2 linked regions of the Alligator mississippiensis genome follow. The protein of the gene in region 1 purifies or fractionates together with the protein of each later gene. This does not show direct contact. Links are inferred from orthologs where the notes say so. Each region holds a gene or a part of one and is shown in the gene's direction. Other genes may lie near its edges.

What was found. Proteins that work in one complex are often made in the same cells at the same time.
Region 2: the proteins of POGZ (region 1) and CHAMP1 purify together in Homo sapiens (affinity purification with mass spectrometry; 4 studies listed by BioGRID and IntAct, with this or other methods). This does not show direct contact. The link is inferred for Alligator mississippiensis from reciprocal best matches to the Homo sapiens genes POGZ and CHAMP1.

What each region holds. Positions count from the first base shown.
Region 1 is NC_081838.1:19,811,693-19,819,404, reverse strand, and holds the start of POGZ (pogo transposable element with ZNF domain), read left to right. Parts: upstream 1-4,694; 5' UTR 4,695-4,846; intron 4,847-4,966; exon of another isoform or gene 4,967-5,032; intron 5,033-7,712. UniProt on the Homo sapiens protein: Plays a role in mitotic cell cycle progression and is involved in kinetochore assembly and mitotic sister chromatid cohesion.
Region 2 is NC_081824.1:350,550,916-350,557,882, reverse strand, and holds the start of CHAMP1 (chromosome alignment-maintaining phosphoprotein 1), read left to right. Parts: upstream 1-3,919; 5' UTR 3,920-4,083; intron 4,084-4,355; exon of another isoform or gene 4,356-6,967. UniProt on the Homo sapiens protein: Required for proper alignment of chromosomes at metaphase and their accurate segregation during mitosis. Involved in the maintenance of spindle microtubules attachment to the kinetochore during sister chromatid biorientation.

The sequences.
Region 1 (7,712 bases):
CGACTGAGACTGTCATGGAGATATTTTGAAAGGGAATCACCTCCCAAATATAGCTATAAGTTAAATAATTCTAAATCAAAATTTGTACTATAACAAATATGGTACATACCATGTAAATTTAAACAAAGTGACAAAAACAAATTATTTGGAAATGAAGTTAAACATGAGACTGACTAATATGGTTTAAATATTACTGCAGTCCACTGATGCAAAATATCAAGAAAGATGCTGAAAAATTAAATTGGGGGGGAGAGGGGGGAAGCAACACAGTTGGTTTCTGCTTCACAGATTAATTAATGTCTTCTCTCAGATGCTTCCCAAGAAGGTTAGGGAGGCATATTTTAGAAAGACAGATATTTATTTCAACACTTATTCAGAAGAGAAGAATGGCAATACTCCAAACTCCCAAATCCAGTGCAAAACTAAAATATTCAGGAGTTTGAAAGTTTCTGATCTTTAGATTTTAATTTACTATATGTAAAATCATTATATATCCCAAGTCTGAATTCAAATGCAGAGAAAGAGAAGGCAAAGTATTTTAACAGTACAGAGGAATAATGAGACTTACTAAACTAAAATGGACATAAACAAAAAGGAGGAAAAATTAATTTCTAAACTCTGATAACTGTAGTAATGGGTGTTTCAAGCTAGCAATGTGCTTAAAGTTAGGTATGTGCTTAAGTACTTTGCTAAATAGGGACAACAGTAGAAAAACATTTTAGTGACATCATATTTAAACTGCTTTACCTCTTTAGCTGTCTAAACAGAAACTTCCTACTGCCAAGTGGCAACTTCTCTAAATGCATATCCTTATTCTTGTAGTCAGCCCCTTACTGTATGCTGCTGAATGAACTTGTGACTGAAAATACTGTGCTACATCTTGTTTCATTTCCAGAGCCAGATACAGCCTTGCAATGAATTTCTCAGTGATTATGAAACCACATGTTGAAACCTTTTGACTTCTTGCCTTGACACCAACCAAGTTGCAGGTGGTTCCAATTTTAGACTCATGGCAAAAACCCTGTGGCAGGCGTCCAAAAAAACTGGCAAGCTGCAGAAGCAACATACAATGCTCCAACTTACTATCTTTGGAACTGCTAGTTTGATATATCAATTAATCTTTGCTGCTTTGCTTAGATCTTTTGCTAAAATGTAATTTACACTATAAAAAAGGTCGAAGTTAGGTTATAATATGTACCTCAACCTACTTAATTATGGTAAATGGCATTACAATGTAGCTACATTATAAAAAAAAGTTATGTCTTGGTCAGGGTTAGTTCATGACCCTGCCCTAACCTTGACCCACTCTTAATAACAATTAGCCCTTAGGGAAATAGTTAATTATTTGTTATAATAAGTCTCTTGGACCTCTTTAGTAGCAGATACTTAATCAAAAAAATCCACTGCATATATCTAATAAATTGGACAGGACATGTATACTATTGCTGTTCACTGGATGGAATCACAAGTATTAATTTTTATGTCATATGCTCTATAATGTTAACAATCAGAGAAGTCTCCTTTATTCTGAGTTATATAAAGCAGGGTTAGGATTTGATTCCTATTTCTACTATCACCATGACTCCGAGTAGCGTAATATGAAGCATAGTGGCAGCCAGTAGTATTTGCTCCCATAGCACAAAATGGCATGGATTACCCTTTCATTCCATATCCATACACCAAAAATTATAAATAGCTCACCAATACTGAGATTCCTGCTGAATCCTCTCTTTCTTTTTTGCCCTGCTTATTAATTGCATCTTGAATTTAGCATCTCCATTACGTACACTGGATGAAGGCAAACAGGGCCTGGTGACTCCTGATGATCCCTATTTTAAATATAAGAAATATTGTAAATATAATGGACAAGTCCAATATGGTGGTGTGGTAAATGTTGATTTTGTTATTAATGGTGATCACAGTAGTTAGAGACCTGCTTTTGCTATAAAATGTTATAATTTGGAGTTGAATTGTATTAATAATGCCTGAACTCCTTTTAAAAGCTTTTTTGACCTTTTTAGTCATTAGGGTAGACCAGTAATGAAAATAGTAATTGGCTTCAAGGGATTTTGTTCTCTTATGATTCATAAATATTTCTACTTTAGAGCAAACATTCTTGGGGGAAAAAAAGTGAGAGATGCTGGTACTCTATGAAATGATTCCTTTCTACAATACCAAGCACGAGGGATTTCTGTCCCATGACTGCAGTTCCTCCTTACTACCGCAAAACACATAGATAAATAATAGTTACTTTTATTATTATTATTAACTTCACTGGCTTTACTCCAGCAGAGAATTCAGTCCATTACATCAGCAACAAATGATATATAGGTACATACATGCAAATATATCCCACCAACATGTGGCAGAAAACCTGATGCATCATGCAAGCTAGAAAGAATGACCGGCAATTCAAATCAAAGTGCTTGTTTAATCAATAACAGGATAATAATGACATCAATAAAAAATGAAATGGATAAATGCTAGTGACATCTGATTGCCATATAAAATTGATTCTTTTGATCAGACTATTATTTACCAACTTCACAGAAGTTTTGTGTGAATTAATAAATTAATATTCTTAAAGTGCACTGAAGATGCATGTAATAATTGCCAACAATTATTAGCAAATATGAACTATATACATATATTACTGTTGCTGTAAAAGGTATCATCTTATTAAAAATAAACATTATCCCATGAGTGATGAGTTATATATACACTTATTATTGTCTTTGTTCTGTGGTAAAAAAATCATAAAACTTATCAGCATTGCTAAATGTAATTATAAATAAATACGATTAGTATTCATTATTACAGAGGATATAAAACATTTAAATGTATATGTGGGAGAATGTCAACTTCCGATGAACGCTACTAGGTTGAGAGTCTGGGAGACTGAAAATTATCTAGTGCCAATCTAAACAAGTGTCAAACTTTAAATATTGAGAAGATACTGATTAATTATACTAGGATTATCCACATACTTGATGTTAGACACGTGCTTAAGCTTCCTATTGAAATGGGGCTGGTATACCTAGATGGGCAGAGCCTACAGATCTGCCCGGCACTCACCATCACATGAATATGCTTCAGTCATGGCCTGTTGGGGACCTTTATGGAGGCAGTAGAGGAGTTCAGTTTCCATGGCCCATTTAATTCTTGGGCTCATAGCTGTCGCTGCCTGAAAGGGAAGAAATTAATGCCAATGGTGATAAAATGACAGGTTTTATAGTAGGGACATAAAACCACCGTACTTCTGAATGTCTTTGGTCATCCATAGAAAAATATTACAATATGTCTGACAACAAATATGAACATTTGATTCCCAACACCTATTAGAAAGCCTCCAAAGTATTTGTCATTAACAACTTTTTCTTAACTAACTTGTTGGGTTCAAATCTTAGGTGATGGGTCTGAATGTTGAGATCAGGTCAGTAAATAAAATGAATTATAATAGCTCAAAACTACCAGCTGTAGGTGGCAGGTTTAAATGTCAACTACCAGGCTAATTATTTAAAAACATTACCCATTACAAACTGTGAGTTCATGTGCTAACAGTGTCACTAGGCACCTAACAGTCATCAGGAACCCCTCCCTATTACTAACCATTTAGAAAATCAGTAGCCATCGTGGGTGGTGGATTTGAGACACAGTGACGTTCCTACCTACTAGTTAATGACTGCTGCAGGTGGTGGATTTGAGACACAGCCATGTCACTATCTATCTCATAGCTAATGACTGTTGCAGGTAGTGGGTTCGAGACACAGCAATGTTGCTGTCTACCTCATAGCTAACGACCACTGCAGGTGGTGAATTCAAGAAACAGCCATTTTGCTATCTACTTCATAGCTAACAACCATGGCAGGTGGTGGGCTCGAGACACAGCCATATCTCTGCCTACCTCATAGCTAACGACCATTGCAGGTAGTGGATTCAAGATACAGCCAGGTTGTTCGTCCTGCCTAAATCGCTAAGCAGCAGGTTCAGGTGGAGACCTAACCATGTCACCAAGCCCAAGCGGATGATCCTTATTGGCAGCAAATTAATTTCAAGACCAACCCGTGCTGCCAACCCCATGGCCAACAACTGAAGAAGGCGGCAAATTCAAGCCCAACTGGTGACCCTTCCAACACCAGCAACGGCTGTTGGAGGTAGGTTCAATCCACGCCTCTGAGATTCTCGGCTTGCCTACGGAAAAAAACATGGCGCACATGAGGGCGAATGGAAACATTAAATATTTGGCTTTTACCACAGAGGGGGGTGCGGCAGAGCAGCTCCCCCAGCATGGCTAGCAGGGCCCTCAAAGGGCGCTGCTGATCCTACCCTATTCCTCCACTCCTGCACCTTGCCACCAATTTCTGGACCTGGAGGAATGGAGCCCACCCAAAAAAAAACCCCTAGGGGCCTCCCACCTCCAAAAAAAACAATGGAAAAAAAAATCCCCAAATAATTTGTGCCTCACACAAACTTCACCAAGCCATGCTAGGGTGCGCCCTGCTCCTAGTGATGTCACCCCTTAGCCAGCCAATCCCAAAGCAGCTTGGGAGCCGAGGAGGAAATGACGTCACCGTATCCCTCCGCCAGCCAGGTCCCCTTTTTTGTGTGTGTGTGTGTGTGTCTGTTGGTGCCTTGTGTGTGTATCAACCCGCAGCGCTTTTTTTTTTTTCTCCTTTTCCGGGGGGGGTGTGCAAAAAAAAAATTATTCGGGGGGGGGAGGGGGAAGCTCATGCAACCTGCCCTCCCCTTCCCGCTGCCCTTTCCGAGGTGCTGTGGGGGTGCGTGTCCCTTTAAGAGCGTGCGAGAGCCGCCTCGGCTGAGCAGCGGGAGAAAGCGAGTGAGGAAGGTGAGTTGGCGCGAGCCCGTTATGTGGGGGGAGGGGGGGGCGGGCGCAACGGAATCAACCGGATCGGGGCGGGGGGGGGGTGAACCGCGGGGGGGGGTCGCGCGGGTGGCGGTTGGTTACCGTTGGAACCGGTTCGAACCGCCCGGGCCGGGGGGCGGGGGAGGGGAGGGGAGGGAGGGAAGGAGGCAGGGAGTGGGGGGGGAGGCGGGCGGGAGAGCGAGCGAGGGGCCGCGCGCGCCGTACACAAAGCGGCCGCGAGACGCTGTTGGCGGGGAGGAGGAGGAGGAGGAGGGAGCGCGAGGGGAGGGGCCGCTCCCGCTGGGCGGCGGGATACTGCCTCGCTGCCTGGAAGGCGGAGTGATCCGCGCCCCCCCCCCCCTCCTGCTGAGGCGGGTAGTGACCCCCTGTGTGAAGCGCCCCTCATGCTAGAGTGCCCCCGCCTCAGCCCTGTCTGCAGGGGGAGGGGACAGGCTGCACCCCCTCCCCCTTTCCCCAAGCTGGTGCTGGGTGGGCGGCCATGTTGGGCAACGGGATTATTTTTTCTCTCCCTTTTTTTTTTTTTTTTTTTTCTTTCTCAGCAGCCACAATGAGCTGAGGCTGGCTGGCGGGGGGAGGTGCGGCCCCGCCTTTGCAAAGGAAGAACGGACAGGGCATTTGCTTCGGGGGTCTTTTGCGGGGGCTGCTCTGGCCCTCCACCTCGTAATCACGGGGGTGCCTCGTAATCCTCGAGGCCTGAGTCTGAGTTGCTCCCCTTGGCCTCTCCTCAGGGGCTTCCCTTGGTCCAGGGGGTTTTCCTTGGCAAGCTTGCTGCTGGGCTCCCTGGCGAGGGCGTTCCCTCTGGCCCCAGTGAAGCGTCTTAGCCCTGTTCTCCTTGGTCTGGCTGCCCCACAGGGTGAGAAGCATTGCTTTGGCCTGACAACTGCTTTTCTTTCCCCCTTCAGAGTGATTGAGGATGGCTGACACCAGGGCATCCTTTAAAGTTACCTTCTGCTTGCTATCTTCCTCTGCACATGGGACATGGAGAATGTGCGGGTCCAGGCAGGAACACCCCCCTCTACGCATGCACGCAGGCACTGACAACGCATGCTTTGCTTTACTGACTTAACAGTAGTTGCAGCTGTTGGCAGGGCACACCAAATGTCTGCAAGTGACTGACCGTGAGGAGGGGGAGGCCGATATTTGTTTCTGGAGATGTCCTGTAGTGGTTTATGACAAATGGGCCTGCCCCGTTCTACACCCCGCTATCCTGTATCTCGCTACTTGCGGGTCATGCTGATTGTAACATCTGCCTCTGAATACAAAGTGTAGCTAATTATTATATATGCATTCCTAAATTGCCCCTGGGTATAAAATATATTGACATAAATCACATCAGAGACTGCCTGTCTGATCCATCCACCACATCTACCCAAATGTCCTCCAGCTTGTAGCTACTCTGAGCCTCCAGCGTGTCTGCGGGTTCTGCAAATGTTATGGTTGCCCTTTTTGTGTATGTGCACACATCCAGACACACACGCACACACTTTATGTATGTGCATGCACACTCGCACACACTTTATGTACATCTGCACACACCTTGTTAATAGAGGTACAGATGCACAAATACTAACTGGCCATGACCCTTCAAATGGCTCCATATGGGCAGACCTTTGCACCTGCACATATACCCACTGAAATTTAGCAGAGTGTTATGTGGAAATAGCTTGCACAGAGCTGGTGATCAAATCAGAGCCAAGATGATGCACATACCGTTAGGTTTAGGCAGAACAGGCTTGCAATTTATGGGTAGGTCTGGTCTCATACAAGATCTTAGAAGTGTAGGACCAGTCACTACGCACAGATATATCAGAAAGCAAGTTTTAATTCTGCCGTTCTAACTATGGGAGCAAATAATTTTAATGAATGTATTATTATATATTTTCTATATATTAATATATTGTAATAGGCATCCCATGCTTGAAAGCTTTAATAATACAGCTAATAAAGTGATAACAACATAGACAATTTAATAAGCCTTTTAAAACAATCACTCTAGATGGTGAACTAAAATGAAACACATCAGTTAACAAAGAGTACAATTGTTTTGTCCTGCAAGTTGCACCTCAAGTACCCAAACCCATCCCCTTCCATCTGAAATGCTGCACAGAGGTTTAAAATAGTCATATCAGCAATGATGAGATGGTCGCATAAGATCCAATACCTGTTCTTTTTCTTTCCTGCTTAAGAACCAGTGTCATATGTCAAAGTTGATGGAAGTTACTTTTCCAGGTTATAGATTGCAAATTATTTCAATAACAGGGGGTTATGTCCTGTTCTAAGCATGGGATTAGTTTACATTGTTGAGAAATATTTAATACAGTATCATCAGTTTTCAGAGATGGTACAAGATAAGATACACTCCTTCCTCTGATTGTTTACCGTTAAAATATGGAGGGAAGACAAGGGACAAGACAGCAGCTCAGATGAGGGGAGTGTATAGTGGCAAGGAGAGAAGTGGGACAGACCAAGGAGGTGGGTGTGGAGGGAGATTGCGAAGGACACAGCTTGATTCAGTGCATTACTGTACTCAATTTCTGTCTAGCATGATTCTACTTAAGGAATTAAACCCTTTTTTTTTTAAAGTGAAGGGGTCTGATTTTTAACTTTGTTTTCTGGCCTATTTAAGCAAATAGGGGGAAAAAATTGAAGTGGCAGCTACTTAGGGATATAGCACTTTCCCACATTCAAGAATTGTGGAAGGAAACTGAAATGTTAACTAAGATGCACCATAAATACCCTCAGGTTAAATCATCTAAGGAGCTATACCAATTGACAAACTTGTTTGGAAAGAAGAATGTACATAAATGTACACAGTAGTGTTAAATTA
Region 2 (6,967 bases), on another chromosome or scaffold:
TATGATCCTTCTAGAAGAGGAAGCCTGTTGTTAATGAGTTTAGCTTGGGCTGCAGGCTCCAAAAGTCTGGTGACTGTGTCTATGATGCAATGGTTTGAGAGGGTAAATGCTGCAAATCTATCAGCATTAGCACTAGGCCATGAATTTTTACTCACAACGAATTAAGCATTCTCCTGCGTGAGTCAGAGTTACGGATGAGCAACAAGTGTGTCCAACAGAGATTAAGCAGTTTTTAATGCAGATGCCTGCTCCAGCTATACAGAATAAAATAGTCAGAAAAAAATATATATCCTGGATCAGGCCTTATTGGGTACCTCATCAAATAATACAGAGGACAAGGTAGACTTGCATTCAAGTTTTGAGAATGCTGGAGTACTGAGTTCCTAAATAATCCTTATTTTGGCAATCTCAAGGCGAAGGAACGATCTCCCCAGAGGAGTAGTAGTAACTTCATAGATCAATAATTTGAACAAATTATAAAGAACTGGTCCACATAGAATCAGTTGATGACTAAACAACCTCTGCTGCATGCCACTATGAGAAACAGATTATTCTGGACCAAATTTACCCCAGCTGACTGCCCTTTGGGCAGGGGGCTGGACTCGATGATCTTCCGAGGTCCCTTCCAGCCCTAATGTCTATGAAGTCTGTGAAGTCTATGAAATTTACAAAAGCATCATGACTTTTCTGGTTAAAGCATGGTACTAATTTCAGAGAGCCTAGAGCAATCCAACAGGCTGGAAGTGAGTGCAAGCAATCACTGAGGGCCTGGAAAGCTCTAGAGATTGCTGAAGATGTTGGATTAGAAAAAGAGATTGTGCAGACTACAGATTGATCTTCAGTCAACTTTGAATGATGTTTACGTCTATTATTTCTCTGATGGTGTTTTTGCTTAATTGCACCCCATTCTTAGAGACTATCTTTGTTTTCCAAATCTTTATTTTGAGGAAAGTGCAAGTCTTGCAGGCCTAAAGATTTTAAATTCCTCCTGTGACTGTGAATTTAAAAATTTACAATGTTGAAATGACTGTATTCAATGAAGTATTTTACAATTTTTTCTGAATGAAAAAAAACTTTATAATTGTTTGTAGGCTCCTGGCATTTCATTACATCAACAAAACTGTAGGCCTTTGCTTGAAGAAACTTTTCAGTCTTTAATGCCTTTGTGAAACAAGTGCTATACTCTGGAATTCGGGGGGAAATGGCTGCCATTCTTTGCAAGAACAATATCAAACTGGGAACAGCGGCATCTCTGCTGAGCCAGACTGTGAGACTGCAGAGAAGCTGCGTAAATAATGCTGCCTTAAAAGGGAGTTTGAATAAGCTTATGATTTTTTGCCAAACCTGTCTTCAAATTTTTGTCACATAAAACAAAAGGTTAATATTGGTTTTACAACTTGTAATCTTTCTATGCATAGAGCTTGATATCTGAAAATATAGGTTGACTATAAGCCAGTAGATAGGAAGTTTAAAATATTCAGCAGTAGTCATTAACTGGAAATCAAATCTGGAGCAGGCAAAGAGGCGGTGCAGACCCGTCTACGCCACCACACATGCAGGCATTCCCTGTGTTGCTACGTTGCAGTACAGGGGAGGTTTTTGACCCTGGGAGATCTTGGGGTCAAACAAATCTGCACCTTAAAGCAGGGCAGCACATGTGGTGGCAGTGTGTGCAGAGCCTGGCCTGCTAGAGCCACGCTCTGGCTGCCAGCCAGGCTCCCAGCTGCAGGAGCACCGTAGCTGCAGCTCCCCAAGACTCCAGGTAAGGCTTCTGGGGATAGCACAGTTACTGGCCCCAGCCACCCCTACCAACCCAAGGTAATCTTAAACTGCAAAGCATAAGAAGACAGTATAAAAGAGGTGTTTGTATGTGACACCAGCATTTACTAAATAAAGCCAAACCGCAGCAGGACTTGTGCTAAGCATCATGCACCCTCTCGTTATGAAAGGGTGGTAGCTGGGGACCCTGGAGAGGTAATGACAAAGATACCCAAGTGAAGGTGAAGGCTAGAGATTCAAAACCATGCTGCCAACCAAGAGTTAGGAACTGTTGCATCATTCCTGCTCCCTTTCTTTTCCCACCATTTCAATTCATTTACTCATTCATGTCTTAGGTTTATATCCTGCCCCAGCCAAAAGGCTTAGTGTAGCCTACTCAACACCCCAAAATCCGAAACTCCCCCTCATCCCAGTGCAACATTTTCTAATGAGAAGTTGTCTAATGAGATGACCATCCCCTCAGCTTTAGCCTCAGGTGGCCACACTGGAGAATCAAAAGATATGGGTTGGGTGATGCTTCCTGAGATCCCAAGGGACAGGGTTAGAAGCAGGTGAAGCAGGAAATACCTGCACTTGGAATTTCCTGGCTGCTCTGCAGGCAGAAGGCAGGGCGAGGCGTTTCCTCCGGGGCTAACTCGTTCAGAGAGGAATAGGCTTGTGTATGCAACAGCCCACTTCATAAGGACACAAGAACTGCTGTTTACTGGGTCAAACCACAGGTCCCTCTTGCCCAGTCTGGTGTGTCACACGGTCTAGCGCACACCTATCTTCAGTGCGTCAAGCTACAGCCCCTTCACTGCCTCAAGAGCCTTTTGCTTAGGTTTTGGCTGCACTACTTCCTGCACCTTAATTTATACACTCCCTGTCCATGGCTCCACCAAATCGTGCAACCTCCTGGCCCTAGCCAAGCTAGCCATGTATCTGACAGGGAAGGAGGCTTTGACTGGGATGACCTCTGGTGACTTTGAAGCCGTCTTCCTGGCCCTCATCCAAGCACATCTCCAGGCAGTTTCAGTAGGCAGTGGCCACTGGTTCCTTGGACTCATTCAAGTGTCCTCTGCTAGGTGTCCCCCCTTGGTACACTCATTAACCTGTGACCGTACTCTTGTTCCTGTTCTGTTTATTTGTCCCAAAGAACATGCTGGTGTGCCTGTAGTAGCCTGTCTTAGCAAGGAAGGCTTGTAGTTTGTCTTGGTGGATCTAGGTACACGTTCCCTGGCACACCAACCAGTCCTGTGTCGCACTCTGGTGCATGCCTGTCTTGAGTGTGGCAGGCTGCAGCCTGTTCACTGCCTCCTCAAGAGCCTCTTGGGGTGCTGGCTGCACCACTCCAGCTTCTTTTTGTTTATGCGCTCCCCATGCACAGCCCCACCAAGTCCCGCGACCTCCTGCTCAACCTCCTGGATCGACCTGACCTGGGGGAAGCTGTGGTCAGGAGGACCCCACCCTGGGACTGTGGGCCTGTTTTCATGTCCCTCTCTGCTCATATGTCTTCAGGCAGAGTTGCACTGGGTAGGGTCCCTTGGCTCCTTGGACTTGCTCAAGCACCAGTAGGCACTGGCCAATGTGCTCTGCTCCCCACTCATGCACCCCTTAACAACCTCTGCCCATCTGTTTTCACCTTTATTCCCCCCCCCATCAGCAACCCCCTGGAATAAAAGGAGGGGCGGGGGAGGGCGGGTGGTAGCAGGTTTTTTATGGGCATCAAACAGGCAGGTGGCAGAAGGGGACGCTGAAAGGGGAGTGAACTGGGGATGAACAGGGTTGGGTTTTTTTCACTGCTCCTTTCCCACTTGCAGCCTTTAAGAGAGCAGTTCCCAAAATTGGGATCGCAGCATCAAGAGCTGAGGGAGTCCTGAGACTGGGGGTTGGAAATGAGAGGGCCATGCCTAGGAAATGGAGTGATGCTGAGGTCAAGTTTGGGAAGCACTGCTTTAAGGCCCAGCTCCTCCGCCTGCCGAGTTGTGCCCCCCTCCCCTCTGCAGGGGGGGAATCCAACCCCGTCCCAGTAGCCCCACCCCTCCCTTGTCCTCGCTAAGTGCGCCTGCGCACTCGCGCCCCTCCCCCCCTCCCGAACACACTGCGCCTGCGCGAGGCAGGGAACGCGAGAGAAAGGGAGAGGGGGCGGGGCGCGCGCGGAGCCCTCACTTCCGGTTGGACGCCGAGCGGGCGCGAGGCGCAATTCAGCTGCCGCCGCTTGCCCGCCTACCCCCCTCCCCCCCTCCCACCGCTTGCCCGCCCGCCAGTGGGGAGGAAGCGCTCAGCGGCCTCCCCGCGCAGCCACCTGGCCCCCGTCCCAGCGCGGTGAGTGAGTGCGGCTCCCCCATCCCTCTGCGCCTTCCCCCCGCAGCCTCCAGCGCCGCGCTGTGCGCAGCGGGGGCCCCTCCCCCACCAGGGGCAGCAACGGGGCGCGCGGGGGGCGGGGCTTAACTCGCGTGCGCGGGGGGGAGGGGCGGGCGGCAATGGCGCCAGCTGAGGACGGGGCTTAACGGGCGGGGCTTAGCTCAGCGTGGTGGGGAGGGGCGCTGCCTCCTGGCCTGGCGGGGGAGGGGCGCGGGCAAGTCGCGGGGGTGGGGGTCTCAGTGGAGAAGAGGTGGGTGAGGAGGGGAGAGCCGTGCAGCAGAGGGCAGCAGCAGGGGAGGTGCCCCAGATACGGACACTCTTTGCTTCTCAGATTTGAATTTCCCCTTGCCTGGCTAGCAGGCTTCTCTGCCTCTGAGGAAGCAGCCCTTGGGGCCCAGAGCTGCCCAGGATGATCAGAGGACTTTTGTCCGTGTCTCCCCCCCCCAATGAACAGTCTCCACTGGCTGTAGCAGCAGAAGAGGCTGCTTTGGCTGCCTTGTCTCGCTGAAGGGCACAGGTTTTCAAACGTCCTGAAGTCACTAGATCCTTTCGTGTTGCTTCTGCTGCAGAACCCGCCACTCCTGTCCTTTCCTACCCCTGTCCTACAAAGGATGTGGCAAAGTTAGGATCCAGAGGTGGGGCACAAAGGTGATAAAGGGTTTGGAAAGCAAGTCCCACGAAAGAGCTAGGCACTTGCAGCTTGAGGAAAAGATGGGATATGATAGCAATCTTCAAATACTTGAATGGGCGCCATAAAGAAGAGGGGTGCCATTCTCTCTGGCTGCAGAGTTGAGGATGCAGATCAATGGCTGGAAGTTGCAGCAAAGTATGTTTAGTTTGGATATTTGGAAAAAAAACTCCTTTACTGTTAAAAGAGCGAGGCAGAGGAGTAGACTGACTAGGGAAGTTGTGAACTCTGTCACTGAAGATGTTCAAAAAGAGGTTGGGCAGCCACTGGTCAGGTATAGCTATGCTTATGTATTCTGTGGGTACATGTTTTCTGGCTTCTAGATTACTCTTGCTCCACCCCTTTCTGCTACATGTGTCAGGGTGTTTTTAAGCCTCCTTCATTGGGTGTTGGCTACAGCCAAGGCTGGGGAGTTTGACACCCAGTGGTCCTGCTGGGACCAAAGCTGGATGATTCTGGCTAGAGGATCTTGCCCCTCTGCTCGGGTTCGGACCATTCTTTCCTGACACCCCTCCCCCCCCGCCATATTTGGGATCTGGAAGGAATCGTACCCCATGGTTAGATTGGTATGGACTGTTGGCCCTCTACCCAGGGTCTCATAGAAGCAGGATATTTGTTCCTCTACTTTATACCTGTGGCAGGTTAGGGTGTTAGATCTGTGTTGTGTCAGGGTTTACACAGTCTTATGTGGAGTTTAGATTATTGTTTGTATGGGATCATTTGGATAGGGATGATCCTGCTTCAGGAAGGGGGTTGGACTAGATGGCCCTGGAGGGCCCTTCCAGCCTTGCTTCTCTGTGATTCTAAAAAGCTGATATGGAGCCTGGAAACCTGGCAGTGATGACGTGCTGCTTCCGCTATTGCCCCCAGTTTCTTTGGGGAAGCTCTGATGACGTGTTGTGGAACCCCAGGGTTCCAGGGAATGCAGTGTGAAAGGCACTGGCTTAGTGTAAAAACAGACGTTGCCAAACAACGAAGTGGATCAGCTGTGGCTGGCATGTCCCACCACGGCCAGTCCACTTTATTTGATGAAACATACCACTCCTTGTTGTGCATCAGGCAAAGGCCTGATGAGAGACAAAAGGCAGCACATTCCTCTTGCCTGTAAATTTTCTGCACCTGCTTGCCAGGACCCATACTGACCTATGATTCCCACACAACCATGGGGTGGCATGGGACCTGGAGAAACCCAAGGGCTCTGTGCCTCCGTACTGATCCATGCCTCTGCATGAAGCATGGGTTGACACAGGTCCTAGCAAGGAAGCACAGGGCATCATGGGACTTAGGGAATTTGCTCAGCACAGTTCCTGGTGTGGATGCATGGGGCACTGGGGATTCCCCAGGTCCCATGCTGCTGTGTGGGTCCCAACCTGGAGGCACAGAGCTCCAGGAATTCCCTAGGTCCCTTGCTTCCACACCAGGACCTACACAGACTTTACCCACTTAAGGAAAAGTGCCCCATGAGATCTCAAGGCAGGTCTCCATAAGCAGGAAACCCCAACTTTCCCTGCTTAGAGAGATGCTCTAGGATTCCCTAGGATGTCTCTGTAAGCAAAGAAAGCTGGGCAGGTGCTTCCTGAGGGGGCTGATTTCTGTGTGGGAAATCCTGAGGTGTGCAAGATGGGGGCCTTTCAAGCCCATGGCATACCTGCCCAGGGTGGCTGGAGAGTTTGGGCATCTTCAGGCTTCCCGCACTCTCCCACCACAGGGCAAATAGATGTGCAGTTCAATAAAACAACTCTTTTATGCTACTTTTTGTTGTGGATACGCATGCGGTGCAACAAAAGGTATGGATTGTCTACTTTGTCACTGTTTGTGCTTCCATAAAAAATGTTTATAACAGCACACATGCCACATCAGGCGACATTCTATCCTTAGATACCAAGTATCTCTTAATAAAATTCCATGTTACGAGCAGGTACCAGTCTGCAGCGAATGAATCCTACCATGGAGTCCCACACAGTTCAAAGATGGTGTCAGGACCAAGCATTGTCTCCTTTCCAGTTTCTTCTATCTGAGCCCTTCCTTGAAATGAGATTCTGCTGTCCCACGGCCCCAGTTTCTGAAAGTGTACTTTCAGTCTCCTCAGCCCTTTCCTCCCCTTCCTCCTCCCCACCCTTGTCTATGGGTACTTTGGGCCAGATTCTGTTCCATCTC